Oryctolagus cuniculus: one gene and its partners. The protein of the gene in region 1 purifies or fractionates together with the protein of each later gene. This does not show direct contact. Links are inferred from orthologs where the notes say so. Each region holds a gene or a part of one and is shown in the gene's direction. Other genes may lie near its edges. The genes, in order: H2AZ1, ING3, NAP1L1, KAT5, EPC1, MBTD1 and RUVBL2.

The links.
Region 2: the proteins of H2AZ1 (region 1) and ING3 purify together in Homo sapiens (affinity purification with mass spectrometry; 5 studies listed by BioGRID and IntAct, with this or other methods). This does not show direct contact. The link is inferred for Oryctolagus cuniculus from reciprocal best matches to the Homo sapiens genes H2AZ1 and ING3.
Region 3: the proteins of H2AZ1 (region 1) and NAP1L1 purify together in Homo sapiens (affinity purification with mass spectrometry; 3 studies listed by BioGRID and IntAct, with this or other methods). This does not show direct contact. The link is inferred for Oryctolagus cuniculus from reciprocal best matches to the Homo sapiens genes H2AZ1 and NAP1L1.
Region 4: the proteins of H2AZ1 (region 1) and KAT5 purify together in Homo sapiens (affinity purification with mass spectrometry; 6 studies listed by BioGRID and IntAct, with this or other methods). This does not show direct contact. The link is inferred for Oryctolagus cuniculus from reciprocal best matches to the Homo sapiens genes H2AZ1 and KAT5.
Region 5: the proteins of H2AZ1 (region 1) and EPC1 purify together in Homo sapiens (affinity purification with mass spectrometry; 4 studies listed by BioGRID and IntAct, with this or other methods). This does not show direct contact. The link is inferred for Oryctolagus cuniculus from reciprocal best matches to the Homo sapiens genes H2AZ1 and EPC1.
Region 6: the proteins of H2AZ1 (region 1) and MBTD1 purify together in Homo sapiens (affinity purification with mass spectrometry; 3 studies listed by BioGRID and IntAct, with this or other methods). This does not show direct contact. The link is inferred for Oryctolagus cuniculus from reciprocal best matches to the Homo sapiens genes H2AZ1 and MBTD1.
Region 7: the proteins of H2AZ1 (region 1) and RUVBL2 purify together in Homo sapiens (affinity purification with mass spectrometry; 6 studies listed by BioGRID and IntAct, with this or other methods). This does not show direct contact. The link is inferred for Oryctolagus cuniculus from reciprocal best matches to the Homo sapiens genes H2AZ1 and RUVBL2.

What each region holds. Positions count from the first base shown.
Region 1 is NC_091439.1:65,412,978-65,417,246, forward strand, and holds H2AZ1 (histone H2A.Z), read left to right. Parts: upstream 1-1,469; 5' UTR 1,470-1,887; coding exon 1,888-1,890; intron 1,891-2,309; coding exon 2,310-2,387; intron 2,388-2,685; coding exon 2,686-2,799; intron 2,800-3,103; coding exon 3,104-3,233; intron 3,234-3,525; coding exon 3,526-3,587; 3' UTR 3,588-3,961; downstream 3,962-4,269. UniProt on the Homo sapiens protein: Variant histone H2A which replaces conventional H2A in a subset of nucleosomes. Nucleosomes wrap and compact DNA into chromatin, limiting DNA accessibility to the cellular machineries which require DNA as a template.
Region 2 is NC_091434.1:156,936,583-156,940,646, forward strand, and holds the start of ING3 (inhibitor of growth protein 3), read left to right. Parts: upstream 1-1,264; 5' UTR 1,265-1,463; coding exon 1,464-1,491; intron 1,492-1,740; coding exon 1,741-1,812; exon of another isoform or gene 1,813-2,535; intron 2,536-4,064. UniProt on the Homo sapiens protein: Component of the NuA4 histone acetyltransferase (HAT) complex which is involved in transcriptional activation of select genes principally by acetylation of nucleosomal histones H4 and H2A.
Region 3 is NC_091442.1:78,557,995-78,561,494, reverse strand, and holds part of NAP1L1 (nucleosome assembly protein 1-like 1), read left to right. Parts: coding exon 1-76; intron 77-177; coding exon 178-197; intron 198-1,629; coding exon 1,630-1,752; intron 1,753-2,425; coding exon 2,426-2,455; intron 2,456-2,684; exon of another isoform or gene 2,685-2,957; coding exon 2,958-3,008; intron 3,009-3,500. UniProt on the Homo sapiens protein: Histone chaperone that plays a role in the nuclear import of H2A-H2B and nucleosome assembly.
Region 4 is NC_091432.1:6,003,904-6,007,922, reverse strand, and holds the start of KAT5 (histone acetyltransferase KAT5), read left to right. Parts: upstream 1-1,219; 5' UTR 1,220-1,461; coding exon 1,462-1,473; coding exon of another isoform or gene 1,474-1,572; coding exon 1,573-1,639; intron 1,640-1,951; coding exon 1,952-2,020; intron 2,021-2,115; coding exon 2,116-2,252; intron 2,253-2,515; coding exon 2,516-2,671; intron 2,672-2,757; coding exon 2,758-2,832; intron 2,833-2,933; coding exon 2,934-3,008; intron 3,009-3,160; coding exon 3,161-3,409; intron 3,410-3,606; coding exon 3,607-3,696; intron 3,697-4,019. UniProt on the Homo sapiens protein: Catalytic subunit of the NuA4 histone acetyltransferase complex, a multiprotein complex involved in transcriptional activation of select genes principally by acetylation of nucleosomal histones H2A and H4.
Region 5 is NC_091444.1:102,740,375-102,744,428, reverse strand, and holds the start of EPC1 (enhancer of polycomb homolog 1), read left to right. Parts: upstream 1-1,254; 5' UTR 1,255-1,584; coding exon 1,585-1,737; intron 1,738-2,909; exon of another isoform or gene 2,910-4,054. UniProt on the Homo sapiens protein: Component of the NuA4 histone acetyltransferase (HAT) complex, a multiprotein complex involved in transcriptional activation of select genes principally by acetylation of nucleosomal histones H4 and H2A.
Region 6 is NC_091448.1:27,053,661-27,057,953, reverse strand, and holds the start of MBTD1 (MBT domain-containing protein 1), read left to right. Parts: upstream 1-1,493; 5' UTR 1,494-1,823; exon of another isoform or gene 1,824-2,142; intron 2,143-2,684; 5' UTR 2,685-2,747; intron 2,748-4,293. Other genes in the region: UTP18 (U3 small nucleolar RNA-associated protein 18 homolog), read right to left, coding at 1,009-1,350. UniProt on the Homo sapiens protein: Chromatin reader component of the NuA4 histone acetyltransferase complex, a multiprotein complex involved in transcriptional activation of select genes principally by acetylation of nucleosomal histones H4 and H2A.
Region 7 is NC_091449.1:8,256,209-8,259,067, reverse strand, and holds the end of RUVBL2 (ruvB-like 2), read left to right. Parts: intron 1-1,223; coding exon 1,224-1,343; intron 1,344-1,616; coding exon 1,617-1,746; intron 1,747-2,039; coding exon 2,040-2,154; intron 2,155-2,251; coding exon 2,252-2,277; 3' UTR 2,278-2,359; downstream 2,360-2,859. Other genes in the region: LHB (lutropin subunit beta), read right to left, coding at 2,501-2,743. UniProt on the Homo sapiens protein: Possesses single-stranded DNA-stimulated ATPase and ATP-dependent DNA helicase (5' to 3') activity; hexamerization is thought to be critical for ATP hydrolysis and adjacent subunits in the ring-like structure contribute to the ATPase activity.

The sequences.
Region 1 (4,269 bases):
TTCTCCAGTGGCTAGTGTAGAAGATAACAGGAGTTACTGAGTGCTTACTGTGTGTCCACTACTATCCTCTACAGTGTATACCTTCTTTAATCTTGCAACCAGGTTGTGAAAATAGGTGGCATATAACCTTTCCACAGAAGAACCTGAAGCCCCCAAAGCTTGGTCGCCCAGATGACACAGTGAGGAGGCCGCAGAGCAGAAGAATTCACGTCTGCCTGCCCCGAATCCATTCATTCTCTCAAACACGATCCAAAGAGGCAACAGAGATTTCTCTTCAGTTGGGCTTCATCCCAGAGAGAGTATTATCTAAATCGGAGAAGGCATTAATATTGGTTTCTGAGTGAAGCCTCACTGGCGACAAGGTTAACTATTACATTGAGTTTCACAGCTTTTTATCGCCATCTTATCAATTTAGTTGGAGATCTGATGAACTCTTGCTATTGATGACATCACAAGGACTCCTCAGTTCCAAGGAGAATAATGAAAAGATAGACTAGAATTTATATCCCAGAAACAGGAATGTCCTTTGATCCCCCCCCCAAAAAAAAACAAAAAACTTTCAAATTGAAACCTTGAAACCTAAAGTTAGAATGTATGTTTCAAATACTTCAAGTTGCAACTGTTCAGTTGTTGAACATGTAACATTATATTCCCAAACAGCTGGAGATGTGCACAGGTGTTATTAATCTATTAGTTGGAAGACTAAGTAGCTGGCATTATTATAGCACTGTGTGTACAGTACTATTTTTTAAGCCCACCATTTGCAATTGATTACATGGACCATCTGTAACTGCCTGTGAATCACGTTAGTTACCCCACTGACATTTACCGAACATTTGTCACGCAGCGAAATATTTAGTGTAGAAAAGTTGACACATAATAGCTCTGAGATTTCACTAAATCAACTCTAGACACCGGCCTGTGGGTACAACCCACCGACCTGTAGACACCAGAAAAATACGGTTTGACTAAAGAAATACCAGCTCACGCCAAGCTCCCCACGCGTGAACAAAAAGGTCTTTTGTGCCCAGCGAGGTAACTCGGCTCCGCCGACTGTTGTCACAGAACCACCTCGTGTGTGTGCGTGCGTGTGTGCGGGGGTGTCTTCATAAAGTGGTGGGGGAAAGAGGAGGAGAGGACTCCGCTGAAATTCAAGTGGGATCCGCCGGCGGCTGGGAACCAGCTCAGAGGGAGGAAACGGCCGAGTCCTGGCCGACCCGGTCGCGCCACCTGTCAGACGAGCGCAGCCGCCAGGGGCTGGGAGGGCGGCAGGCGAATGGGTGCCCGGGGCCCCGGAAGAAGGCTGCAGGGGAGCCGATTCCGGGCGGCGAGAACCCAGGCGGTGCTGTTAGGGGTGGGGGCCGCGCTAGACCCCGAGGAGACTTCACGTGGCCTCTGCAATCCCGCTAAGGGACCGGCGGGGGGCGCTGTCCCACGCCCCTCCCCTGAGCCTCTCAGCTCCTCCTCCCAGACACGTGACTGAGCCTGCTGGTTTCTTCGCTCGCGCTGCGCACCTCGTTCTGTTTCTTCCCTCCCGCTGCTATGCCCTTCTTCTCCCCCGTTCCCATCCCTCCGCCCTCCCCCACCTCCTCCCCACGCGCCAACCGCGGCTCGAGCTTGGAAGCGCCCGCCTCTCCGCCCTGTTCTTCGTTTTCTCATTGGCTGAGGCCTCAAGGACGCGTCCCGAGGGCGGGCGGCAGCCATTGGTGGGATGAGCAATCCGAGTTCCCGGATGAGGGAACATTCTGCAGTATAAAGGCAGCGGGGAAGGCGGGAGACAGCGCAGTTTGAATCGCGGTGCGACGGAGGAGTAGGTGGTGGGATCGCGCTGTGTGTCAGACTAGCCCTTTCTCTGCCTTGCTTGTTTGAGCTTCCGCAGAATTCGAAATGGTAAAGTTCGCAGGGGCGCTCGGTAACTCCGCGGGATTTTGCCGGCGGGAGAGAAACCCGCTACCCACGGGGATGAGGGTGAAGTGGCGACGGTTGGGGACGTGCGGAGACGGGATTTACACGAGCGGGGGGGAGGTGGCGTGTCGGCTGCGAGCGGAGCAGCCTCGGCTGTCGCGGCGGGCGGCGACGGTTGGGTGGCGCGCGCGGCGCCTCTGGGGGCCGGCGGGCGGGCGGGCGGAGGCGCGCGGCCGCGGCGGGCGCGCGGCGGGGGCCGGCGGGCGGGGTCGCCCCTGCGGCGCGTGGCGGGCCGGAGACCCCGGCGGGGCGCGGGGACGCGCCGCGGTGGGGGAGGGGCGCGCCGCCCTGGTAATTCTATATTCTCCGATCCTCCTCCGCTCGCGGGCGTGTGCGCGCCGCAGGCTGGCGGTAAGGCTGGGAAGGACTCCGGAAAGGCCAAGACAAAGGCGGTTTCCCGCTCGCAGAGAGCCGGCTTGCAGGTCAGTAGTTGTTCGTGCAGTCTGCGAACCGTGGCGTTTTTCTTTGCACACCCCCTCCCACCCCCCTTTCTTGTTTATCATCGCCCTAGATGGGCGTTTCGTCTTCGCGTTGGGGATGCGGTGTCGCGACTTGGGGGCTGCCCACACGATAAATAAGGTTGGGGGGGGCGGCGATCACGTGTGTGGATGCTAGGGTGCCTGGCTGCACCAGCGTCCGGGCCCCTTGCGTTGGCGCGCGTGCGATCCCGCCAGCCCTGGCTCCCTGTCTTTATGCGTTTCTTGTTTGTGTGTGCTTAAGTTCCCGGTGGGCCGCATTCACCGACACCTGAAATCTAGGACGACCAGCCACGGACGTGTGGGCGCGACTGCCGCCGTGTACAGCGCTGCCATCCTGGAGTACCTCACCGCAGAGGTAACTGAGCGGACGCCTATCATCGAGGCAGGGCTGGGGGGGGGGGCGGGGGAGGCGGCCGGAGGGAAGGAGGAAAGTGATGCAAGAAGACTCCAGGCCCGAGACGCGGCGAGAAGCCCGGGAGGACGCTAGAGGGAGCCGGTGTCCAGGAAGGGAGCCTCCTGAGCCGGAGGAGTTGGCTGCTCCTGGCAGTAATTGCGTGTCCCCTGGATAGGGGGGAACACCTGGCAGATTCCTGTTCCTTAAGCTTTGATTCTGCCCTTGCACCTTGGTCAAAGGCGATTGATGAGCGTCTGCCTTGTAGGTACTTGAACTGGCAGGAAATGCATCAAAAGATTTAAAGGTAAAGCGCATTACCCCTCGTCATTTGCAACTTGCTATTCGTGGAGATGAAGAATTGGACTCGCTCATCAAGGCTACAATTGCTGGTGGTGGTATGTAATAAAGTTGGTTTTCTTCCTTATTCGGAGGACAGAAACCCTTGGCTTCTAACTCCTATTAGATTTTAGTCTAGCAGAGGGCATTTGAGAATGTTTTCATTGATGCAGTATGGCTGGGTCATGAAATTTGGTTTATGTAAACAACTCAATGGGTTTTTGGTATTTTGAGCTTCACATTTTTTTGAAAGATCTTGCACGTTGAAGCGTAAAATGCCTTGGTTTCAAAGTACTGTGTGGTTTTGAAAGTACTTACATTAAAAGTAGAATTTATCTGTCACTCTCCTAGGTGTCATTCCACACATCCACAAGTCTCTGATTGGGAAGAAAGGACAACAGAAGACTGTCTAAAGGATGCCTGGATTCCTTGTTATCTCAGGACTCTAAATACTCTAACAACTGTCCAGTGTTGGTGATTCCAGTGGACTGTATCTCTGTGAAAAACACAATTTTGCCTTTTTGTAATTCTATTTGAGCAAGTTGGAAGTTTAATTAGCTTTCCAACCAACCAAATTTCTGCATTCAAGTCTTAACCATATTTAAGTGTTACTGTGGCTTCAAAGAAGCTATTGATTCTGAAGTAGTGGGTTTTGATTGAGTTGACTGTTTTTAAAAAACTGTTTGGATTTTAATTGTGATGCAGAAGTTATAGTAACAAACATTTGGTTTTGTACAGACATTATTTCCACTTAGGTGGATAAGCTCAATAAAGGTCATCTCCCAAACTAGTTGTGTTTTAAATTTGCTTGCTTGTAATGGAAACTTGTTTTGACTGTGGTCCAGCAGTAACTAGGCACATTTCTTCTGTAGAAATTAAACTGTTAACCTGTAGATCGACAAAGGTCAGATACCGGGTACAAGGTAGTGTTACACCATAATGTGCTATGAATTTCTCAGAAGTTCTGCAGGAGCTGGAGATGGTTAGGGTTTCCTGGGACCAGGGACCAAGTGAGCTGAGCGTTCACCCTGGCTGTGCCGCAGTGACAGCACTGCTCTGGCGCGCGGCCGCCTTGGTGGGCTTGCACCTGCACAG
Region 2 (4,064 bases), on another chromosome or scaffold:
AGAAGAGGAAGATTCCAGTGAATCTGCAAAAATATCAAGCAGATCTTTCAAAGTAGTCAGAAGGAGGGAAAATGGAAAAGAGGGGCAGGGAAGGGAGGGAAAGTGGAAAGGAGGAAGAGTGAAGGTGCTAGATTTTAGCTTCAAGTGTGTAAAATTAACTACGTTAATTCTTAATAGGACCAGGTAAGTTTCCATTGAGACGTATCAACAGGACAGTCAAGCATCCTGCTTAAGACCAGTGGAAAAGCCCTGAGCAGAGGAGCGGCTACGGAGAACACTCACACTGACGACACTGTTCCCTGAAAAACGGAGAGAGTTAAGAAAGATGGGAAACACCACCACCTAACACTTAGAGTAAGAGTCTCCTGAGGAAAAACATTTTAAAATAAATTCAGCAATGCACACTTAACATATATCACCGGTCAATATTGGCAGGGAGAAATCCAAAAGTAGGGGAAGACAACGCCCAGGACTTCTAACACATGCTACTTACTCAACATAATCTAAATTGCTGGTTCAGCTCATTAGACATCAAGGCTCCACCCGCTACTTATGACTGCTCAGGGTTTTTTTTTTTTTTTTTTTTTTTTTTTTGGTTGTTGCTGCAGGTATAGGTTGTATGTACAGATTACATGAGGATGACAATGACGATGAGCTGGACCGAAAAAACAAAAAAAAACAACAACAAAAAAAAAAAAACAAGAAACAAACCACTCTCGTCTAAACTGGCGCTGATGACTATTCCAGCACCTTTCATCCGGGGAGTGCACATACACGCCACAGTTTGATAAACTATTTGAAGGCTACATGGAGTCAAGCAGACGTCCCTCCCTCCCCCCTTATATTTTCGGCGGTCAACACTGAAGCACCGAATTCTGTCTGCAACAATGGGAATCGCCCGAACTTCGCTGATCACGCTAGCGTTTAGAACCTCTGCTTGTGTGCCCAGCACCAGGCGAAACCCATGACTCACAAACGCCGGGCATGGAACCGCAGCAAAGAACAGGTGAAAAGTTGTTCCTAGTTGTCTGATGCCGGCGCATACAAGTCCCGTCATCCCCTGTGCCAAAATCAACAAATAAACAGAGGCACCGCATTTCGGAGCCCTCCGCGCACCGCTCGCAATGGCGCCTGGTGTCCGTAGTTTTCCCTCACAGAACGGGCGGCACGGCCGCCCTGCCTCAGAAGGAACAGAAACTACACTTCCCACAAAGGCGCTCGGGCAGGCCCTGGCCGGCCTACGTCACTGCGGCAGCCAGCCAATGACAGCGCCGGGCGGCAATGAGGCAAGCGCCGTCAGGCGCCCAAAGTGGTTTTTTTTTTTTTGTTTTTTTTTTTTTTCGCCGGAGTCGAGCGGGTGCTGCTAGCGGAGGCGCCATATTGGAAGGGACAAAACTCCGGCGACAGCGAGTGACACAAATAAACCCCTGGACCCCTTCGCTCCCCCAGCTCTAAGGGCCGCGATGTTGTACCTAGAGGACTATCTGGAAAGTGAGTGCGCGGCGCCGGCGGGGGCCGCCCGTGGGACCTGCGGTCGGGCGAGAGCGCGAGTGGACGGGCAGGCGGGATGGCGGGAGGGAGGGGGAGGCGGGGGATGTTTCTCTCTCACGGTAACTGGCAGCCTCGTTGTGGGCTGCCCGCTCCCTCGACCCCCCCCGACGCACGCACGCACGCACGCAGTGACGCAGGCGCGTACGCTCGCTGTGGGCCCCGCCCTTCTGACGGACTCTTGTTTGACAGTGATTGAGCAGCTTCCAATGGACCTGCGGGACCGCTTCACGGAGATGCGCGAGATGGATCTGCAGGTGCAGAGTAAGTCGGCACGTTTGCCCGCGTCCGCCGCGCGCGTTCCGAGCCGGGCTTGCTTGCCGCCGCTCCTGCGCGGCGCTCCGCGGGCACCTAAGTTGTGGAGAAGAGCTGGCAGGGCCAAATCGCGCCTGGTTTTTTTTTTTTTCTTCCCACGCTCCATTTATTATTATTTTTTTTCCTGTGACGAAATAAGAAGGCATTAGAGTATATGTATTGCTTCCTCGAAATGGGACTGTGCAAAAAAAAAAAAATGTTTTATATCCTCATGAGGGTAATACCGGGTGTGGGTTAGCGATGATCCCGTAAATGCTGAGATTTTGACCAGCGCCTTTATGGATCGAACTTGGATTTCAGCATCTGTTTGTACTTCTGTTCGAGTTCATTCCGAAACGTCCAAGAGCCCGGCTTAGGAGTAGATCCTCAGAGATCCCGGCAAACCTGGAGTGTCATCACACGTTATAGGATAAGCTTGGAGTTGTGGGCTCGATCCTCTTTTCCAGGCAGAATGAGCGGGAGATAAGATGTTGCTGCCAGGCTGGTCAGTGGTAATAATTGGCAGCGGGCTTCCCTGTCCTCCAGTGACGGCTTGCGAGTCTGGTGACTTTTTCTCAGACAAGGACTCTTAAGTAGGTGGCCCAGAGACTACCCGAGGTGGCTGAAGAACCTTTCTTTCGCAATCCACTCCGTGTGTCTACTTGGTGACCACCTAGGATTCTCTACCCAAAGGTTCATGATTCTGCTTTTCTCAGCTTCTGCACAGTTTTATGTAGCACGTAACAAGTGGGAATGTGGCACAAAAGCCACCTTTTTTTCTGTTGGTTAGATTGTAGCGTGGCAGGAAGTGAGAAGCACGATTCTGCAGCTGGCTGACAACATGCGTTTGAACTGCAGTGTAGTGAAAGGCCAGTGACACGCTGAGTAGAGTTCTGTGTAGGACGGAGTGTGGACTTCGATGTCGGGCAGATCTGCGTTTATTTTATAGCTTTATCAGTAGACTCATTGACCTCGATCGACTGCATTACCACTTTTGAGAAGTTTCCATTGACTGTAATAAGAGAATCCAATGAGAATTAAAAATAATACAGATAAGTTAGAATGTATGATATCTGATACAAAGTAGGTGTTAAAGAAAGGGTGGCTCTGTTATAAACATTTTCATTGCAGTTACACATTTTAAATTCTCTTAATTTGAACTTAGCTTGTACAAACTACAAGTTTTTTTAAACTAGCATTTTTTTAACAATAAGTAGAATTCTTTAAAGTTAATAGGTATTATGAATTAACAAAAATGACCATATGTCACGTAAGTTAGGGAATGCTTAAAGGAAAATACTTTTTTAAAAATTTTATTTATTTATTTATTTAAAAGAGTTACAGACAGAGAGGGAGAAACACAAAGAAGTCTTCCGTCCATTTGTTCACTCGCCAAATGGCCTCAACGGCCGGAGCTGAGCAGATCTGAAGCCAGGAGCTGGGAACTTCTTCCAGGTCTCCCACGCAGATCATTAGCAGGGAACTGGACCAGAAGAGGAGCAGCCAGAACAGGAACCGGTGCCCATATGGGATGCCAGTGCTGCAGGGAGAGGCTTACTCTACTATGTCACAGCACCCCAAAGGAAAATACTTTTTTATAAATTAACCATGGGACTTCTCAATCTTTAAAAAGCTGATTATGCACTGGCAATCTCCAAAAGATGAGTATAGTACAGAGATTTTCCTCAACCTAATTAGCAATGGAAATCTTTTTATTTTTCCTCTTTTTGGGAAAAACTATTCATTATTCTAGGCATATACTTCAGGAAAAACTTACTTAGAATAAATAATATCGTGTATGAAGTGCTAAATGGTTGTACTTACTGCTTTCAGCTTTGATATGAAATGATGGAATGCTTAGTGCCATTGAGCCAGTTGTTAAAAACTTTTTACTGATTTTCTTATGAAAAGCCATGTGAGGATATTTTAGTGGTGGTCTCTGTGAGTAACTGTGGTTGGGCACATTCAGTTGATTAAATACCGCTAGCCATTGACTGTGTCCCAACCCCCTGAGGCTGTACTCTTCAAAAACTGTGGTTTAGCTCTGATCCACTTTGTTAATCCTAGTTTAATTATTGGAAAAAATTAAAAAACAACATAAATAAGTAGTAGGGAAATGTGTAACTTTTAAAGATTAAGTTAAGTGAGCATTATGTATTTATGTAACTGAAGCATAACATACTCAAGTTATTGGTCAAGTGGAACAGTGTTTATTGTCAGAT
Region 3 (3,500 bases), on another chromosome or scaffold:
GGACGTGGGACAGTTCGTACTGTGACTAAAACAGTTTCCAATGACTCTTTCTTTAATTTTTTTGCCCCTCCTGAAGGTAAATAGTGTTTTAGCTTGAATATTGATGATTGTTTATTGTTATACTAAGCTTTATTTACTCTTAATAATTTGATGTTTTTTGTTTTCCTCATTTTACAGTTCCTGAGAGCGGAGATTTGGTAAGCTGACTTGTTCTTTATTGACTTGTTTACTGTATTTGAAATTATCTCAAAGGTGGAGAGTTAGTGATTCTTACTAGCATTGTGGTTCTGAGACCTCGTGGAAGAAACTTGTAGAGATCTAAAAAATTGTTCCATCCAAAAAAGGTTTCCATGGAAAAACAATGAAATGAAAAGCTGAAAATTTCTTTAGAAACATGAAAATACTTTTATGAGGGTTTTAATTTTTCAAAATTACTGTGTGTGTGTGTGTGTGTGTGTGTGTGTGTGTTTTAAAGATTTATTTATTTGAAGGCAGAATTACTGAGAGACAGGGAGAGAGAGGTCTTCCATCTACTGATTCACTCCTGAGATGGCCACAACGGCCAGAGCTGGGCCAATCTGATGCCAGGAGTTTCTTCTTAGTCTCCTACGCAGGTGCAGGGGCCCAAGGACTTGGGCCATCTTTTACTGCTTTCCCAGTCCATAGCAGAGAGCTGGATCAGAAGTGGAGCAGCCGGGATTTGAACTGGCAACCGTATGGAATGTCAGCTCTGCAGGCAGCAGCTTTACCCACTACAACACAGCGCCAGCCCCTAATTACTGTATTCTTAATGAGACAAAGATTAATTAGGTCCTTGGTATCATTTGTTACATTTCTTTGGCCATATTATTAGAGCTTTATCCTGTTTCTTATCACAATGAAAATATGGTTTTATATCATGACCATATACTAAGGTGTTCAAATATGTGGCATATAGCCAAGAATTAAGCCTACTGTAGAACTTGAACCACAACCTCAAAGAAGTATATAGAGGAAGATAACTATTTGAATGCCTGTCCATAGATGGATTGGAGTTTTTATTGGATTGCTTGTTTCCTATATTGTGAATATTGATGGTTGACAAAGTTTCTCAGTTATGGATAGGAAATCTGTATTTGCAATCCCTTTCTTCAGTCGTCTTCCCTCCCTCTCTGTTAGTGTGCATTATGTTGATGACTCAGTAAACATTCCTCGAATGTGTACTGATGAATGTCAGAAGCATTTCTGTGCATTGTTTAGCCATTAAATAAAAATTCCAGATCGACTTAGTTGATTGATTTTGTCAAGGACTCTGTCTCATTTGCATTTAAGTAGACTTAAAACTGTACAGCTGCTTGCTAACTCTTTTTAGGAAGTGTGAAGAAGTGATTTTCTGTGGTCTCTTACTGTGATTTTCTGTGTTTCATATACTTAGTTATTTATAAAAGCCTGTTTTTTTCTTAGTATTCAGATTAGTGTTCTCATTTTTCAAAAATTAGTATGTAGTAAAATTATATATTGTTTTATTTCCCCAATCTTCTTAACATATACACAGCCTGCTAACTTGTTTTCTTTTTATTAAAAAGTATAAATTTATCACATGAAGTTATTCTTAAATGTTGTGCTTTTGTTTCCCTTTTCAAAAAATAGGATGATGATGCTGAAGCTATCCTTGCTGCAGACTTTGAAATTGGTCACTTTTTACGTGAACGTATAATCCCAAGATCAGTGTTATACTTTACTGGAGAAGCTATTGAAGATGATGACGATGATGTGAGTGAATTTGTATTTTGTAATGAAATAATTTGGTTGCGGGTAAGATAGAATTGATAAGAAGTTAGGTTTTAGACATTTAGAACTTACACTATATCTAGATTTAGGACATGGAATAATTCAAAGTTGGTCTAGTTACAGATAATCCTGTAGATAGCTTGCTTAATATTAAGTAGGTTTTCTTAGCCTCTTTACATTCATTTATCTTATTTTTGCTTTTGCTACCAATGGAAACATCATTCTGATCAAGTGAAAAGTTTTACATTTGGCTAGCATTATAGAGGTATTAGGCTTTTGCCTATGATCACAAAAAACAGAACTAGGAATTTTTCTGTAGGTAAGATAGTATTTATTAGACAGCATAAAATTTTATCTAAGAGAATTTTAAATAATGATTTAGTTTGAATTAGGCTGCCCTTTCTTGGATACCTTTATTGCTAATAGGTATTGAGTCTTTGTTGTGCAATATGTTCCACAGATAAATTCAGGCAAGTAATTGTGTGATAATGATTCATTCATATGATTATACTAAATTGCCTGGTTATTTAGTTAATAACTGAGCCGAATGCTTGCTGTAGCTAACATATTTTGGAGAAAATGTTTTGTATTTTTCATTTAAGTGTATACATATCAGATGTTACTAATGTTGGCACTTCACTGTTTTCCTTTTCAGTATGATGAAGAAGGTGAAGAAGCGGATGAGGTAATGTTTACCAAATGAACAAATAGTTCTCTGTTTAACACAATGTGAAGCAAATTGAGTGACTTATGTATTCCTTTGCTATAATCATTATTCTGTGATTTGGGATACATTTTGGAATATATGATTTTAGAACTCTACAGCCAAACAATGTATGTATAAGGTTTCAATAAATAAATTGCAAAACTCAGCAACTTTTTTTTTTATTTCAAATAATTTTGTTCTGCTGCAGGGTTATCAGCTCTTTGAAGAAGTCAAAAGCTGCAGTAAACTTTTTCAACGTTGGCTGCAGTAATCTTTTCAATAAAGGCTGTCTGGATGTCTCGAGTTGTGTTGGGAAATTTTTCATATTAAAAGCTTTCAGATTAAATTGTACTGTCAACAACTCTGTAATCATGAAAATCTGTTGACTCATAGAGTAACTTGTATTAAATTTTCCCTACATTATGAGTCAGTATTTCCCATTTGTACCTACTTCATGGATGCATTTTGAACTTTAATATAGGAAGGGGAAGAAGAAGGAGATGAGGAAAATGATCCAGACTATGACCCAAAGGTGAGCAAAATTAGTACTGCTTTATCTTAAATTTGAGGCAGGCTAAAGTAACAGTTGATTTATTTTTTCTATTAAAAACTTATAATAAAGCAAATTTTTTCTTTTTCTGATCCTCACTGGCATTACACATGATTTCAGTGCACCTTTACTAAAAAAAACATTGGTTTTGGTTCTGACTTTATATTTTTCTGATTCAGGCTAAGTGTAAACCTTAGCAGTCTGTTTTTTTTTGTTTTTAAAGATTTATTTATTTACTTGAAAGTTATACAGAGAAGGAGAGGCAGAGAGAGAGGTCTTCCATCCGCTGGTTCACTCCCTAATTGGCCACAAATGGCCAGAGCTGTGCCAGCCCAGAGCCAGGAGCCTCCTCCTGGTCTTCCCATGCGGGCGCAGGGTCCAAGGACTTGGGCCATCTTCTGCTTTCCTAGGCCATAGCAATGAACCTGATCGGAAAGTGGAGCAGCCGGGCCTTGAACCAGCGCCCATATGAGA
Region 4 (4,019 bases), on another chromosome or scaffold:
TGTCCCCCCAACCGCTTTAACACATCAACAGCACGGGTGCTGGTCAAGGGCGCAGTCCAGACACCATGCTCGGCCCCAGCCCCCGCAGCCAGGGGGCCCCAAGGCCCAGCCGCGCTGTCAGCGCCGCGCGTCCCCATGGGAGCCGCTGCCCCTGCTTCCCGGCCTGCCCGGCGGAGTTCCAACAGGACCTGCTCGCGAACACGTGGCCCTCCCTCGTCTCCAGACCTCTTCCTCTCTCTCTTCCTTCTTAGCAGCTTCACAAAGACCAAGGCGGGGTGTAGTAAAACGGCGCCGTCTTCCTAAGCCCAGCCCGGCTCAGCCGAGCGCGGGCTTCCCAAGGCCCAGCCGCAGGGTCAGCTCCAGCCCACGCTGAGGGGCCTGGCCGGCCACGTCCTCCCTCCGCACGGCCCCGGAGGACCCGTTCGCCACAGGCCGCTGCTCTGCGCGCCAGGGCCCCCCCCACAGTAACCCTGCCCCTCACTCCGGCGTCTGGTGTTCTGTGGGGGCCCACGGGCCGCGGGACACGCCAGGCCCACACCCGTCTGCCTGTCCACCAGACACGGGCCAGCGCGTGCAGCGCGGCGCGGCTGCCCCCGCGGGACGGCCTGTGCGTCTGGAACTTTCTCTGGGTCCCTTCAAGCCTTCTTTCCAATAGTTAAGCTTTCAGCCAGCGCTGCCCGGCTACTCCAGCCCGACCGCCCGCGCCTGACCACCCTGCTCGGGTTTTCGGGGTTCCCCAACACTTAGCCCTGAAACAGAGGCAACCGCGGCCATTAACCCTCCCCTCCCCGCAACTTCCAGGAACGCGAGCTCCGCCAGGGGAGGGGTCTGTCCGCTCGCCCCCACGCGCTCCAGGGCCGGCAGTGGAGCCCGGCACACGGCGGGAACTCACCGCACGTCTACAGGCCGCAAAAATAACGCACACACCGGTTCTCAACCAGGAACTCGGGGTACGAGGTTAGACACCCGCGCCCCCGCGCCTCGAACTCGGCCCCGCAGCCGTCCCGCTACTCCCGCCCACTTGTCCAACTTGGCCACGCCCACCGCCCGCCCTCAGGCCCGCCCCGCGCCCAGCACGCGCACCCGGCGCCGGGCGACGCCTCCCGCCGCCACTAGGAGACTCCCGAACGCGGCCGCCCGTCCGAGCCCAAACACTAGTCCCACGTGACCCGCGCCGCAGCCACGTGACCGGCGTCGCACCCGGTGGGCGTCACGTGACGGACTCAGTTTTCCTCCAATCGCGGCGCACGTTGTGGAGGTTCCACCCAAGACCTGGCCCGAGGCTCCGAGCACCCCATTTTCGCGCCGGCCAAAAGGGCTAGCTCCCCGCTTCCAGCCGGGCGGCGGTGTCCCTCAAGGGTCCTTTACTAAACAGGCTCAGAGGGCCCGGGTCTGCAGCGTTCGCGATCCCGGAAGTGACGTCTCCCAGAGGGGCCGGAAGTGGCAGTAGAGGGAGGGAAGATGGCGGAGGTGGTGAGTCCGGTGCCCGGGGCGGGGCGGAGGGAACCAGGGGAGGTGGGTAGAGCCCGCGGCCCCACAGTAGCCGACCCTGGCGCCGCGCTGTCTCCCCAGGGGGAGATAATCGAGGGCTGCCGCCTACCTGTGCTGCGGCGGAACCAGGACAACGAAGATGAGTGGCGTGAGTGACGTCGGGGGGCGGGGCTAAGAAATACGAGGCGGGAGGGAGTCAGCCGAATGGGGCGGGGCTTCTAGAATGCTGGTGCGGGCGGGGCGCTGGCGCTCCAAAGGAGGGGCGTGGCTTCTAGCCGTTCCGACCTGGACAGGGCGGGGCCTGGAGAGTGGGTTGCACTTGGTGTCTGAAGGGGGCTTGGGCGCGAGCTGCGCAGTGCTGGGGCGCGGGGATCCGGCCGAGGGGTGGGGCTCGGGTCCTAGGAGGGTGGCGTCTCGGGGCCCTGCCCGTCTAAGGCCTCTGCCTGTGCCGTTCCCATAGCCCTGGCCGAGATCCTGAGCGTGAAGGACATTAGTGGCCGGAAGCTCTTCTACGTCCATTACATTGACTGTGAGTCCTGGGCCTGGCTGAGGTGGGGCTGCGGGGCGGGCGCGGGGCGGGGGCAGCCTCTGGCATTCCGTCCTGAGCCATGCCCACCGCTGCAGTCAACAAACGCCTGGATGAATGGGTGACCCACGAGCGGCTGGACCTAAAGAAAATCCAGTTCCCCAAGAAAGAGGCCAAGACCCCGACCAAGAACGGACTGCCTGGGTCCCGCCCCGGATCTCCCGAGAGAGAGGTGGTGAGTAGGGCCCCACTCCACCTCTCCTGCCTCCTACTCTTCTCGTCTCTCGGCCTTAGGGGGCTCCTGGCTGGGCAGGAGGCAGCACCCCCCGCCCCGACTCCAGCTTGCAAAGCATGGGGCCAGGTTGCAGATGTAGCTTCCGGTCCAGTGGCCAGTCCTTGAGAAGGCAGCGGGCGGGGCTCAGTCACTCCACGCCGAGGGGGCCCCTCGTCCCCTGCGCCTCCCCACCCCAGAGGAAGACCCTGGACCTATCTCTGCAGCCGGCCTCCGCCCAGGCCAGCGGGAAGACCTTGCCAATCCCGGTCCAGATCACGCTCCGCTTCAACCTGCCCAAGGAGCGGGAGGCCATTCCCGGTGGTGAGCCCGACCCGCCGCTGTCCTCCAGCTCCTGCCTGCAGCCCGGCCACCGCTCCACGGTACCCTCAGCACTTCAGGGACCTTCTTTCCTCTCAGGTCCCCCTTCCCTACCTTCTCACCCACCGGCCTCGGTTTCCCTCTGCAGAAACGGAAGGTGGAGGTGGTGTCGCCAGCGACTCCCGTGCCCAGCGAGACGGCCCCGGCCTCCGTGTTCCCCCAGGTAGGCCCGAGCCGTCTCGTCTCACTGCCCTGCCTGCCCTGCCCCCGCCGGCGTCTCCGGCTCAGCTCACAGCCCCCCGCATTCCCGCCGTCTCTTCACAGAATGGGTCAGCCCGTAGGGCGGTGGCAGCGCAGCCAGGGCGGAAGCGGAAGTCAAACTGCTTGGGCACGGACGAGGTGGGTCTGGGGGCTGGGTGGGGAGGGGCCGTGAGGCGGGTGGGCGGGGGCTGGGCCTGGTCTCTGAGAAGTGGGGTCACAGCAGCTGCCCCGGGGTCGCAGACGGGCGGCGCGTGGCTCCTGTAACGTGCCGTCTCCCCCGGCCCCGGCAGGACTCCCAGGACAGCTCCGATGGCATCCCGTCGGCTCCGCGCATGACTGGCAGCCTGGTGTCCGACCGGAGCCACGACGACATCGTCACTCGGATGAAGAACATCGAGTGCATCGAGCTGGGCCGGCACCGCCTCAAGCCGTGGTACTTCTCCCCGTACCCGCAGGAGCTCACCGCGCTGCCGGTCCTCTACCTGTGCGAGTTCTGCCTCAAGTACGGCCGCAGCCTCAAGTGCCTGCAGCGCCACCTGGTAGGCGGAGCCCAGGAGCGCCCGCCCTGCGCCCCAGAGTCCAGGAGCACCCGCCCCGCCCCCCAAAGTCCAGGAGCGCCCGCCCCTGCGCCCCCCAGAGTCCAGGAGCACCCGCCCCGCCCCCCAGAGTCCAGGAGCGCCCCCGCGCCCCCCCGGAGTCCAGGAGCGCCCGCCCCTGACCCTCCTCTCCTCCTCAGACCAAGTGCGACCTACGCCACCCCCCTGGCAACGAGATCTACCGCAAGGGCACCATCTCCTTCTTCGAGATCGACGGGCGCAAGAACAAGGTCAGTGGCCGCGGGCAGCGGGCGGCTGCTGCTTGCTCGGGGGCACACTGGCCTGCCCAGCCGGCAGCTTGTTCAGCCCGTGGTGTTAAGAAAGGTTTGTTTATTTGAAAAGCAAAGTTAGAGCGTGGCATCCGCTGGTTCACGCCCCAAATGACCACGAGGCCGGGGCTGGGCCAGGAGCCTGGGGCTCCATCCGGGTCCCCGCACGGGTGCAGGGGCCCGAGCGCTTGAACCATCTTGCGCTGCTTTCCCGGGCCACAGCAGGGAGCTGGGGTGGAAGCAGAGCAGCCGGGTGTTGCAGGAGACGGCTTAACCCGCCGTGC
Region 5 (4,054 bases), on another chromosome or scaffold:
CTGCCCATGTTGGAGGTGGAGGGTGACTGCAGAGAATTGTGGTTTCCGCTCCCCTTGTCTTCTGCCCACCTAGTGGAGGGCAGCTAAACCAGCCTGGAAGATAGCAGTTCCCCTATGCCCCGTAAGCTAATAACAGTTCATCCCAAACCCAGTATTTGGGAATAGCGATTATTTTTTATTATGTAGCCCCCGGCGAGAAAGGCAGACTTAGAAAACATGTTTGCATCTTGGCATACGAGTGAAATCTTGCTGTCACACTTACAAAACCCACTGCAACAATCTTTCTGATTTTTAAAATACCTCCCTGGAAAGGGATCAGCGGATACCCACTTTAGTGTGTAATATAAACCAGGTGTTGGCAGTCTGTCAGCTCCATCCAAACCTCTTCCAATCGTTCAGCTTTTCTCGTTGGGTTCGGTGGGATCGCTCCAGGTCTTTGTATGATTCCATTTTATAAAGTTTTCAGAGGACAAATTCGAGCGAGAACTCATGGCGATGTTGAAAACAGCTTTTTTTTCTTGCGGTGCAAACAGAAAATCGTGAACTGAATATAAATAACTGGCGTTAAGGTTTTGAAGTAGATCTTGATTTAAATGCTTTTTCATGAAGGTGGTGTCCAGTATAATCCCCTTTGCTTCAATCACAGTAAAACACATAAGATAAAATGTAGCATGCATTTTTAAGAGCTACTTTTGTAGTGGAATAGGATGCCTGCCCACGGGTGGGAAACTGACCAGCGATTTGATCGCGGAGCCTATCAAATACTATAATCCGAAGTTCCGGTCGACATAAAAATAATTGCCGGTAAAAGTTTACCGCAAGCAGCACTCCGTGTGCGTTTCTATGTTAAAGACCCGCACGGGCAGGGGTGCGCGGCGTCCGTGCGCCGGCCCGGTGACGCGGGTGCCCGAGCCCGGTGACCCCGGGGCCGCAGCCTCGGCCCGTCGTCCCCTCCGCGTCGCCCTCCCCAGGCCCGGGCGTGCGGGCGCAGTTTCCCTGTACCGGCGCCGGCTGGGGAGGAGGGGAGGAGTGGAGGAGTGCGCGGGGCAGCGCGGCGGGAGCGAGCGTGAGAAAGTGAGCGTTTGCGCCCCGAAGTGCAGCGGGAGCCTCCGGCCGGCGCCCGGCGTCCGAGCGCCCCGGCCGCCCCCGAGCCCGCGCCGGGCGGGGGCCCCGAGCCGCGAGCCGCGAGCCGCGAGCGCCGGGCGCCGGGCGCCGGGGGTTGGCGGGACGCGCGCTCCGTGCCGGCGCCCGGCCTCGAGCCCGCGCTCCCCCCCCCCCCCCGCGTGCCCGCGCCGCTGCGCGATGCAGTGTGGGGAATGGCTGGGGTTGGCTGAAGAGCGCACAGTGGAGTTTTAATGTCCGCCATGTTGGCCATGGCGTATTGAAGAGAGCGAGCGAGAGAGGAGCGGAGCGGCACAGCCTCCCACCCTCCCGGCTGGTGTTAGTGCCCGGACGGCGGGCTCTGCGCTCCGCCCCTCCAGTCCCCGGCAGCGGTAGGCGAGTGGGGACCGAACCCCCGGTTCTCCATGATCCCGCTGGCCGGGGCCGTTTCCCCAGAGCGGAGAGGTATCTGCTGCGCCTGAGATGAGTAAACTGTCGTTTCGGGCGCGGGCGCTAGACGCCTCGAAGCCGCTGCCGGTGTTCCGCTGTGAGGATCTGCCCGACCTGCACGAATACGCCTCGATAAACCGGGCCGTGCCGCAGATGCCCACCGGAATGGAGAAGGAAGAGGAGTCGGTACGTGTTAACTCCCCTGTCCGACCCGCCGCCAGGCCCGCTCCACTGCTGCCTGCGGCGGCGGAGCAGCCGACCCACACAAAATGGCCGCCATCTTCTCCTCGCCGCCGACTCTCGGTCGCCGGCCGGGCCGCTCCCCCGCCGCCCCCGGCCGCGACCCCCGGCCGCCGCGGCCCGGCGGGGCCTCCTCTCGGGCCACCCGCCGACCCCGGGCCCTGGTACCCGGGTCCCGCGGAGTTCGGGGGCCCGAAAGGCACAAAGGGGTCACGTGACGAAGCTGCCGGCAGCCATTTTGTGGTCTTAGTGCTTGGGTTGGGCCTTGTGCATCCGGCGAGGGGAGCGGGCTGGGTGGCGGTGGGGGTGCGGCGAGCCGCGGAGCCGCGAGCCGCGGAGGCCCCGCCTGCAGGCCTCTCCGCGCGCCGCTGGGTGGCGCTCCGGGGCCGGCGCCGGGCAGCGCGGGCGCAGCCGGGGACGCTCGCTTGCCGGTGGCCTGGGACGCTGCTGGGCGCTCTGCACGGCGCCCACGTGGAGCCCCGGCGGGGCCCGCCCGAGGGGCGCTGCGTGCCGGCCCGGGCCCCTTCACTCCTGGTGGGAGACGCGGCTTCGTGCAGCGCTAGTTAGCGGGAGCGGAGCGCACACGGGCGTAGGGCGCGGGTGTGCGGGGCCGCGCGGCCGTGCCGAAGCCTTTCTCTGGATGATTTACTTGGAACAGAAGTTGCGCCTGCCTTTTAATCGCTCCACGTGTGAGCAAGGGCAGCGTGGTAGCGCTACATTTGGACAGAGAGGCAAGGACTTTGTTCCCCTTAGCCGCTCAGTTTAAGGAAACCCACCCACACGAGTGTTAACGCTGGGGTGTCTTAAATTGAGTGGGTTTCTGTATTTAAATGACTGCTTTCAGGGCTGGACCTTGTATCCCAGTCGTGGCTTCGCTCGGTGGCGGAGTTGGGTCCAGACGCGAACATGATGGCCTCTTCCTCTGGTTTGCCCCGGCTGCTTGACAGTAACTTAACGACCACTCCTTGCAGGTGCAGCCGAGTGAGCAGGGGCAGTGCCTTGACAGTTCAAGGAGTCCAGGGAGCGCGGACTTCTTGGGTGCTGTAATACTTCGTGGGGACCGGCAACCTTTGCAGTGTGGAAGCTGTGCTCTGTAATGCTGTCTTTGCAAATAAAACTCTTTACACTGTTCGGGTCGTTTAAGCGTCTCAAGTGAAATAGTTGTGGCAGTGGAGTGTCACCTTTGAGAGTGGTGTCTTTGCCTGCGGAAGACGCTGCCTGCCAAGCGCACGGAGCCAGTGGGATTTCCTAGTGCAGGACTGACCTCCGAGACTGTGCCACTCCGTTTGTTTTCCTTGGTTCAACTTCAGAGTAGAGTCCTGCCATCTGTTAAATAAGTGATTTAAAAAAAAAAAATTAAAGTACTTGTGATTGCAGCATCTTGTCTTTTGGTTTTATTTTGTTTCTCTCGGTCAGTTTGACAGGTAATACTTTGAAGGTGGGGAGTTGATGTGACTCGGCCCTGGGAATTGATTTACAGTTCTTGTTATACAGCCAAGGAAGAAATGCTTAAAAAGCCCGACAGCACGACAGTACACTTTAGACATTTAGTTCTATCTTGCTTCTATGAATACTTGGATAGTCCCAAGAGCTACAACACTTCACATCCAACAAAAACTGTGATGAATGAAGCGTAACACCTCAAGAATAGGTACTGAACTTAATCATAGAGTGTCAAGAAAGTACCTGGGTAGATAAGCGGCTGTTCACTTCTGTGGTGCTGCGAGAGGCCATACATATCACCATCTTGAAAGCAGTGTGTTACACAGTATTAAAAATGTATACTAAATGTTAATAAAGGTAATTGAGTTGCCTTAACTTTAGAAAAACAAAAGCCTTTTGATACAAATTTGCTGAGAATATTTTGTACTTAGAGGAAGGATTGAAACAAACCTCTGCCTTTGACAAATTAGTTAGGCCCATTCTTAGGTCCCAGTAACCTAGAACCTAAATTGACTCAAGTTTAGAAAAAGATACATGCTTAGTGGTGATGGTGGTGGTGAAAGAAGGGGGCAGAATGAGGTGAGGCTCTTGGATACCTGGCTCCTTGAGAAAGCATTTGATGAGCAAGATACATTTACACGGGAATATAAGTAGTCATTATAAAAGTGAGCAGAAATATGGGTATTTTAACATGGGGGAAATAACTATTGTACTGCATTTAACCAATCTTAATAATATAAGCTAAACTGGCCTAATTAAACTTTTTTTTTTTTTTTTTTTTTTAAGAAACAACTTAAGTAGAGGCCCCCTCTCCCTGCAG
Region 6 (4,293 bases), on another chromosome or scaffold:
ACGGCTGGTTTCAGACCCTCCAAGCCCAACCAATCCCCCTCTGTCAGGCAGGCGCTTCCTTTCCCTGGACACAAATCTGCACAGTGCTGAGCACTTTACCAGCAGTTCCCAAACTCCTCTCCCACTGGGTTGCTGCAGCTTCGACCCGAAGCACCCAACGGAGGTTGCAGCTAGATAAGCTCTCCAGTTAACAAGCCCTCATTGAGCCATTTAGGGAGGCCCTGACCCGCGACCTGACCTGAAACTCCATAACCTTCCCACCCACACCAACTCCCCCGCCCCCCACGGTATTCTGTTCTCCTCTCCTCACACCTGTCACCGATGTACTTTAAATTTAGGTGCCTTCTGCCTCTGCTGCCCACTGCTGTGTCTCCCCCCAATGTCCATCTACAGCATGCCTAAAATTTTACTCCCTATATGGGCAGGAAAAAAAAAAGGAATATAATTTACAGTGATAAAGAACCTAACGGTCCTAATGACGCAGGCTGTGCCACTGGCAGTATTTGCAAATACTCGAGTTTGCTGAATGGGCGAACACAAGCGATCATTCTCCAAAGCTGCTGTGCGTCAGGCCCACGTGGGAGCGCTCAGGACGCGGACTCCCAGACCCGCGCCCACCAAGCGATCCCGTCAAGTCCTGCATCACCGCCAGGAATCGGGGGTGCTGGGCTCAGCTCCGGCGCGGGCGAGCGCAGCCGAGCCGCTAGGGAAGCCCGCGACTACAGTTAGCGAAACAAATGCGTGTTGAGCGCCTGCTGGATACCCGGCGCAGCGGCTCCTCCGGGGGCGGAGAAAGGCACGGTCCCCGCCCTCCCGAGGCTCGCAGGCCCGCGCCGGGGGGCGGCGGAGGCTCCGCGGCGGCCCCCGGGGCCCGCGTCCCCGGGCTCCCTCCCACCTGAGCGCTGCCCGCCGCCGCCGCAGGTCGCCGAGGCTCCGCCCCCGCAGCCTCGCCGCCCACCGCGCGCCCCGCCCGAGCGCGCCCAGCCCGCGCGCCGCGGCCTCCCTCACCGGCGGGCCCCGCAGGCGCCGCAGCAGCGCGTCCTCGTCGTCCTCCACGTCGCCGAAGACCAGCTCCTCCAGACACCGCTCCGCGTCCGGCTTGTCGTCCTCCAGCGTCAGGCGGTTGCGCTGCCGGAGCAGTCTCTCTTCCTCCGCCGCCGCGACTGCCATCGCCGCGGCCGCCGCGCTCGGCCGGGCCGGCGCTTTCTGCTGGGATGAAAGGGCAGACTTTCGGGGCGGCCCGCCCGTCGCCACAATGGCTCTCCGTTCTGGCTTCATTCGAGTCTTCCGATCCGGCTTCGCTCCGGTTCTCCGGCCCGGTTTCGTTCGGCTCCTCCGTTCCGGCGGCATCGTTGAGTTTGAGAAGAAACGCAGGCGCTCACGTGGAACCTCAAGCGCATGCGCCCAGGCGCCTCACCTCCCGCGGCCGCCGCAGCCCCGGGGGCCGGAAGGAGCCTGCGCAGCCTCTTGCCACGTGACCAACCCTCCCCGCCCCCACACTACGTAACTCTGTTCCTCCTCGCCTGCCCCGCCCCGAGTGGGAGTTCCTTTGGGAGAAGCAATCTTCCGGGTGTAGGGGTAAGCGGCATGACTGGAGTGGAAAATTTTCCCCAACACAACCTCGCAGCTGGAGCATATCGAAAGACGTTTAAGGGAACAGGAGCACCAGCTGGGATGACTGAATGAGACGCCTCCTTTTCCTCCAGACTTTCTAGCCACTCGACAGAACGCCAGCCTCAGTTACTTTTCCCACCCTCGGTCTTGGTACGGTCCGTAGAGTACGGAGCCTGCCGAGGGTCCCACGCTGGAAGAGCGAGAGGAGGGTATGTGGGGAAGTGGGCCAATCGGGGCGCGGGTCACGGCGCAGGCGCGCTGGGAGGGAGGGCTATGCTAATGTTGTTGATATCCTGGGGCCACCCGAGTTAAAGGGGGGAAATCCGGGGGCTGCTGCAGCCGCCACCGGTCTGGGCCCAGCCGGGAACCCCTGTAGTCGCCGCAGTCCGGGGGAGAGGCACCTGCCCCCAGCTCGGGGAGGGGGCGCCGCGGGCTCGGGGAGCACGGACAACCCCTACCCATGAGGCCCTGATGGAAAACACAAAGGATCTGGTGAGAGCCGAGCGCGGCAGCCGCTTTGTGTGCCAGGTGGGGGGGCACGCCTCCAGCTCCCTGACCCCGCTCCCAGGCCCGCTCCTCCGCCCCACGCCCCCTCACCCCGCGGAGCCCCCTCCCCCTACCGGCCGTTAAACGTCTCAGGGGCTCCCCTCCCCCACTGCCTCAGCCCGGGACGCGTCGAGGTTCTCTCCGGCTCATCCAGTCGGGAAGGAAATTTTGAAAAGAAAGTTTTTTCTCTACGCCCCCGTCCCCGTGTCGCTGCGGCTGGGGGTTGGGGGTCGGGGGGAAGGCTGGGTCTGAGACTTTTTCCTTTTTGAGCCGCCCGGGGTGGGCGAGCCGAGTCCTCACCTCCCAGGGGGTCGCAGGCGCGGGGTTTGGGGGCTTTGCCGGGGGAGGTGCCGCGAGGCATTTTGCACGTGGAGGTGGAAATGTTGCAAGGGGGCGGGGTGGGCACGTGTGGGAGGGCGGGGTGGGAGTGGTGTTTGGGGCCGCTCCCTTAGAAGGGTCCCGAGGCGGTGGGCTTGGGTGCGCTCGGCGTTCTCCTGTGTGAACTGAGAATCCTCACGTTTCAGAGTCGGAGGAGACGTTAGAGGTCACCACGGCCGCCGTCCCCCGTGCAGCCTCTCTGACAAGTGGTAGGTAGTCTGGCCTCGGGCAGGAAAGCCCCTTCCGTGTTTCAGTGGTTCGCATTGCTGTGTGCCTGTCCTTAGAGATCCTCCGCTGTCATTCGCGTCCTGGTGAAGTTGCTCTTTTTTTTTTTTTTTTTTCCAACTTCTCAAATTTTTCTCTCACATCCTCCTCACCCACCCACTGCTCATTGGCCTATATTTTGTGTACCAGGAAAGAACAGCAGGCAGGGAAGTGGAGGAAAGAGAATGTGAGGGCGAGCGAGGGCCAGCTGAAAACTTTGCCGGGTCGGTGTCAAGCGTGCTGGCTTAGACGTCTGAAGAAACTGGTGTTGTGCTTTTTTGTTACACACACACACACACACACACACACAGGAAACCAGGGAATGACAGTCTGAGGGTTTCCAGGCCGTTTTCTCTCCCTAGTCAGTGCATCTTTTTGAAGTTGGACATTTGAGCGTCATCGGTATAGTCAGCCCTACCATGAAGTGTGTTTGCTTGCTACCTAAACCGCTTTCCCTAAGGAAGCCTGGCGTTGCCTTGTGGTGATGCTACTGAGCCGTTAGAAAGAAACAGCCGGTGGAGCTGAGCAGAACAGCATCCCTCCGCCAGCGTTCTCGCTTGTTTAACTTATCAGAGCTGGTCTCCCACCCAGGAGCCCCTCTTCCAGCAACTCCATCATAGAGAGACTTGCAGCTTATGCAACACCTTAGTATTTCCTTAGAATTTGCAGTATTTTAATGCTGCTCGCATGAGTACACCCCAGTATTTATCACTGGGTAGTTAAGGCAGTTCAGCTTCAGCTGTTGTCACTCAGTGATTGTCTAAAGCTCTCTTTCCTTGTGAGCTAGCTGCCTCCAGTAGTTTAGATGGCATAAGAAGGGGGTGGTGGTACATATGTTTTCCCTTTCCTAATATGGTGAAGTAAGAATTAATACATATTATGTCGAAGTCATGTCTAAAAGCAAGTGAATACATTTTACTCTAAGTTCCTGATAGCCTGTTTAAAAGGTCTGAGAGACCACAATTTTTCCCCTCCCTCTCAAGATATGTAGACTGTTGCTTTGCTTTTGGTTGCTAAAGGTGTTATTTCTCATTTGTTTACCTCAACACTCAAAAGTCTTTAAAAAGAAAACAGCTGTCTCTTTTTGTACCATCTCCTCTGTATAACAGGTAGCTTCTATTTGTATAGAACTCTGTAGTCAAGGCCTGTGTATACGTTGCATATTATGGCAAAAATCTGTTTTTGAGTAAGTATTCAGAGTGTCCTATGTTGGGACATGTTTTTCAACCATCCGAGTTTTAATCCTAATGTAAACTTTGGTATAGCGTTTTCTCTGAAGCTAGAAAATGGAATGTAGTGTGGAATTGAGTACTACGTCACAAACAAAATTACTAGAGCTACATAATTGTGTCTTTCAAGTTTTAATTAATACAGTTCCAAGTTGTTTTCCTGCTTGCTTTAAACATGAAGTGTCATGAGTTAAGTTGACTGGCTTTGGAGATATTTGCATTCTGAACATACTAGACAGGAACAACTGGTTTTATTTTTAAA
Region 7 (2,859 bases), on another chromosome or scaffold:
TAGTCGGGCCCGTGAGCTGCGCTGGGCTCGGGTCTGGAAGGTAGCAGGGCCACAACTTCGTCTCCAGACGGCTGTGAGTTGGCTGCCGCCGCTCCCCGTCCGTAGCCGATTCTGTACTTGTAAACCTGCTTGCCTGCAAAAAGGTGGTTGGCTCCCCGGGTCGTACTCGGGGCGCCCTCACGGTCACTGGCAGAGATGCGCAGAGCAGCGTAAGTTCAGGTCCCTGATGCCCAGGTGCCCGGCTGAGGTTGGATGAGGCCGCGCTCTGCCTGCTGGCCGCAGCCCCCCTCTCGTCTCCCTGTCTGTCAAGATGCTTGTGTTGTGTGTGTGTGTGTGTGTGTGTGTGTGTGGTGTGGTGATACGCCAGCCGGCAGCTGTGACACAGCAGGTTAAGCTACTGCCCGTGACTCCAACATCCCACCCCCAGTGGGCACTGGTTCAAGTCCCGGCTGCTGCACTTCCCATCCAGCTCCCTGCTGACGCCCCTGGGAAAGCAGCAGGAGATGGCCTTGCACCTCCTCTTGGAGACGCAGATGAAGCCCCTGGCTTCTGGCTGTGGCCTGGCTCAGCCCTGGCCATCGCAGCCATTTGGGGAGTGAACCAGCAGATGGTGTCTCTCCTTCTCTCCCTCACTGTGACTTTCAAATAAATAAAACGAAGCTGAGGTACACCCAAGCGTAGTGCTGAAGTGCCATGCCACGTTGCTGAGCAGGGACAGGCTGGGACACGCCTTGGAGAGACGGCGCTGTTGGCCGTGGGCTCTGTGAGTGACTCAGCAATGTATACTAACACAGCCCCAGGTTCCGTACGCATGATGGACAGGACACTGGAGAGGGGGCGGGAGCCTCATCCCGTGTCCCCCAGCAGCCGTGGGGGCGTCCTCGCTGAGTGTTCACGGTGACATCACAGAACGCAGCTGCCGTGGCCGTCCTGGAGCCCGGCGGGCGCCAGGCCAGGGGCAGCGGGGGACACGCCGGGCCGGTGTCTGCCCTCCTCGAGCAGGGGCGTGGGACCTTGGAGCAGTAATCCTGGACACAGACGCCCAGCCGCGGCTCTGCGGGGGCGCCCGGGGGTGGGGGTGACGCAGCTGGGGCTGAGGCCGAGTGGGGCCTGGCCCCGCGCGTGGGCTGTGGTAGACGGGGTGTGTAGGGTCTGAGGATCAGGGGACAGAGCAGGGTCCCACACACGTCACTTGCTAGCCCTCCCTGTCTCCCACTCCCCAGGATCCGGGGCACCAGCTACCAGAGCCCCCATGGCCTCCCCATTGACCTGCTGGACCGGCTGCTCATCGTCTCCACCTCCCCCTACAGCGAGAAGGACACGAAGCAGATCCTCCGCATCCGGTGCGGGCAGGACCGCCCACCTGAGACTCGGGGACCCCTGGCTGCTGGGCCTGCAAGGGGGGCTGAGTGGGGCCTCCAGGCAGAGGCCTCATCCGGGGGGCGGGGAAGGGGCTCAGGAGGCCCAGGTTCTAGGTTCTCTCGGCCCCTGCCTCGGTGGCTCCTGTGGCCTCTGCTTTCTGTGGGTCTGGGACGCAGACTCCTCACGTGACCCCGAGGGCTGGGCCAGCCCTGGCTGAGCCTTCTCACCCCCGCCCCCCCGTGCCCATGTGACAGGTGCGAGGAGGAGGACGTGGAGATGAGCGAGGACGCCTACACGGTGCTGACGCGCATCGGGCTGGAGACCTCGCTGCGCTACGCCATCCAGCTCATCACCGCTGCCAGCCTGGTGTGCCGGAAACGCAAGGTCAGCGGGGGTGTGGCCGGGGGTCCTAGAACGCGTTTCCAGAGGCACTGCCTGGGTCTGTTTCCGTGTCTGGCACATCCCCGGGGCCGGGCAAGCATGTGGCCCGTGTGTGGGAGCCGTGAGGTCCCTCTCACGGTGAAGGACCTGAGGCGTGCAGGGTGAGCCGGGCCGGCCGAGGCAGGCCTGGAACTTGGGAGATTCGCCCGGAGCCCCTGGCCTTGGCTGCCGCTCGCTTGGCTGCCTGGGGTCTGTGTGCCTGCGGGAGGGGCCCACTGAGGACTCGGCCTCCCCAGGGCACGGAGGTGCAGGTGGAGGACATCAAGCGGGTGTACTCTCTCTTCCTGGACGAGTCCCGCTCCACGCAGTACATGAAGGAGTACCAGGACGCCTTCCTCTTCAATGAGCTCAGTGAGTGCCAGGGCAGGGCGGGGCGGGGCGTGGCGGGGCGTGGCAGGCTGGCCTGGGAGAGCTCAGGCTGACCACCGGGCCTCCCTCCTCCCCACAGAAGGCGAAACCATGGACACGTCCTGAGCCGAGCGCTGCCCCTTCCCCCACCCTGTTTTCTACCAGAGTTCTGACACTGTGACTTTGTATAAAATGGTTTGGAAACTGGCCCCTGGGTGTGTGTGCGTCCCCCGGAACCCACAGAAAGACACCCCAGCCTGCAGATGGAGAAGTTTTATTGGGAGGGGAGGAGCGGGGCACCTGCTGGCTCCACCAGTGGGGGTGGGGCGGGAGGTGGGGCCGAGGGGCCTCAGAGGAAGAGGAGGCCTGGGAGGTGGGGGAGGTCGCAGGCCAGGGGCTGAGCCCGCGGACCCCCGCAGTCGGAGCTGCTGAGGCGGCAGGGCCCACAGCGACAGCTGAGGGCCACGGGGAAGGACACCTCGGGGTCCACGCCAGGTGGACAGCCGGGGAGGCGGATGGAGGCGAAGCGCAGCTCGCGGTAGGTGCACACGGGCTGGGGCACGGGCGGCAGGGCGGCGGGCAGCACCCGCACCTGGAGCGTGAGGGAGCAGCGTGGGCCTCGGAGCCGCCCCTGCCCCCGTCCCAGATGCAGGTCCCAGGGCAGCCTCTGCGCTGCCCTCCCGTACCCCCCCCAGCTGACGCCAGTGC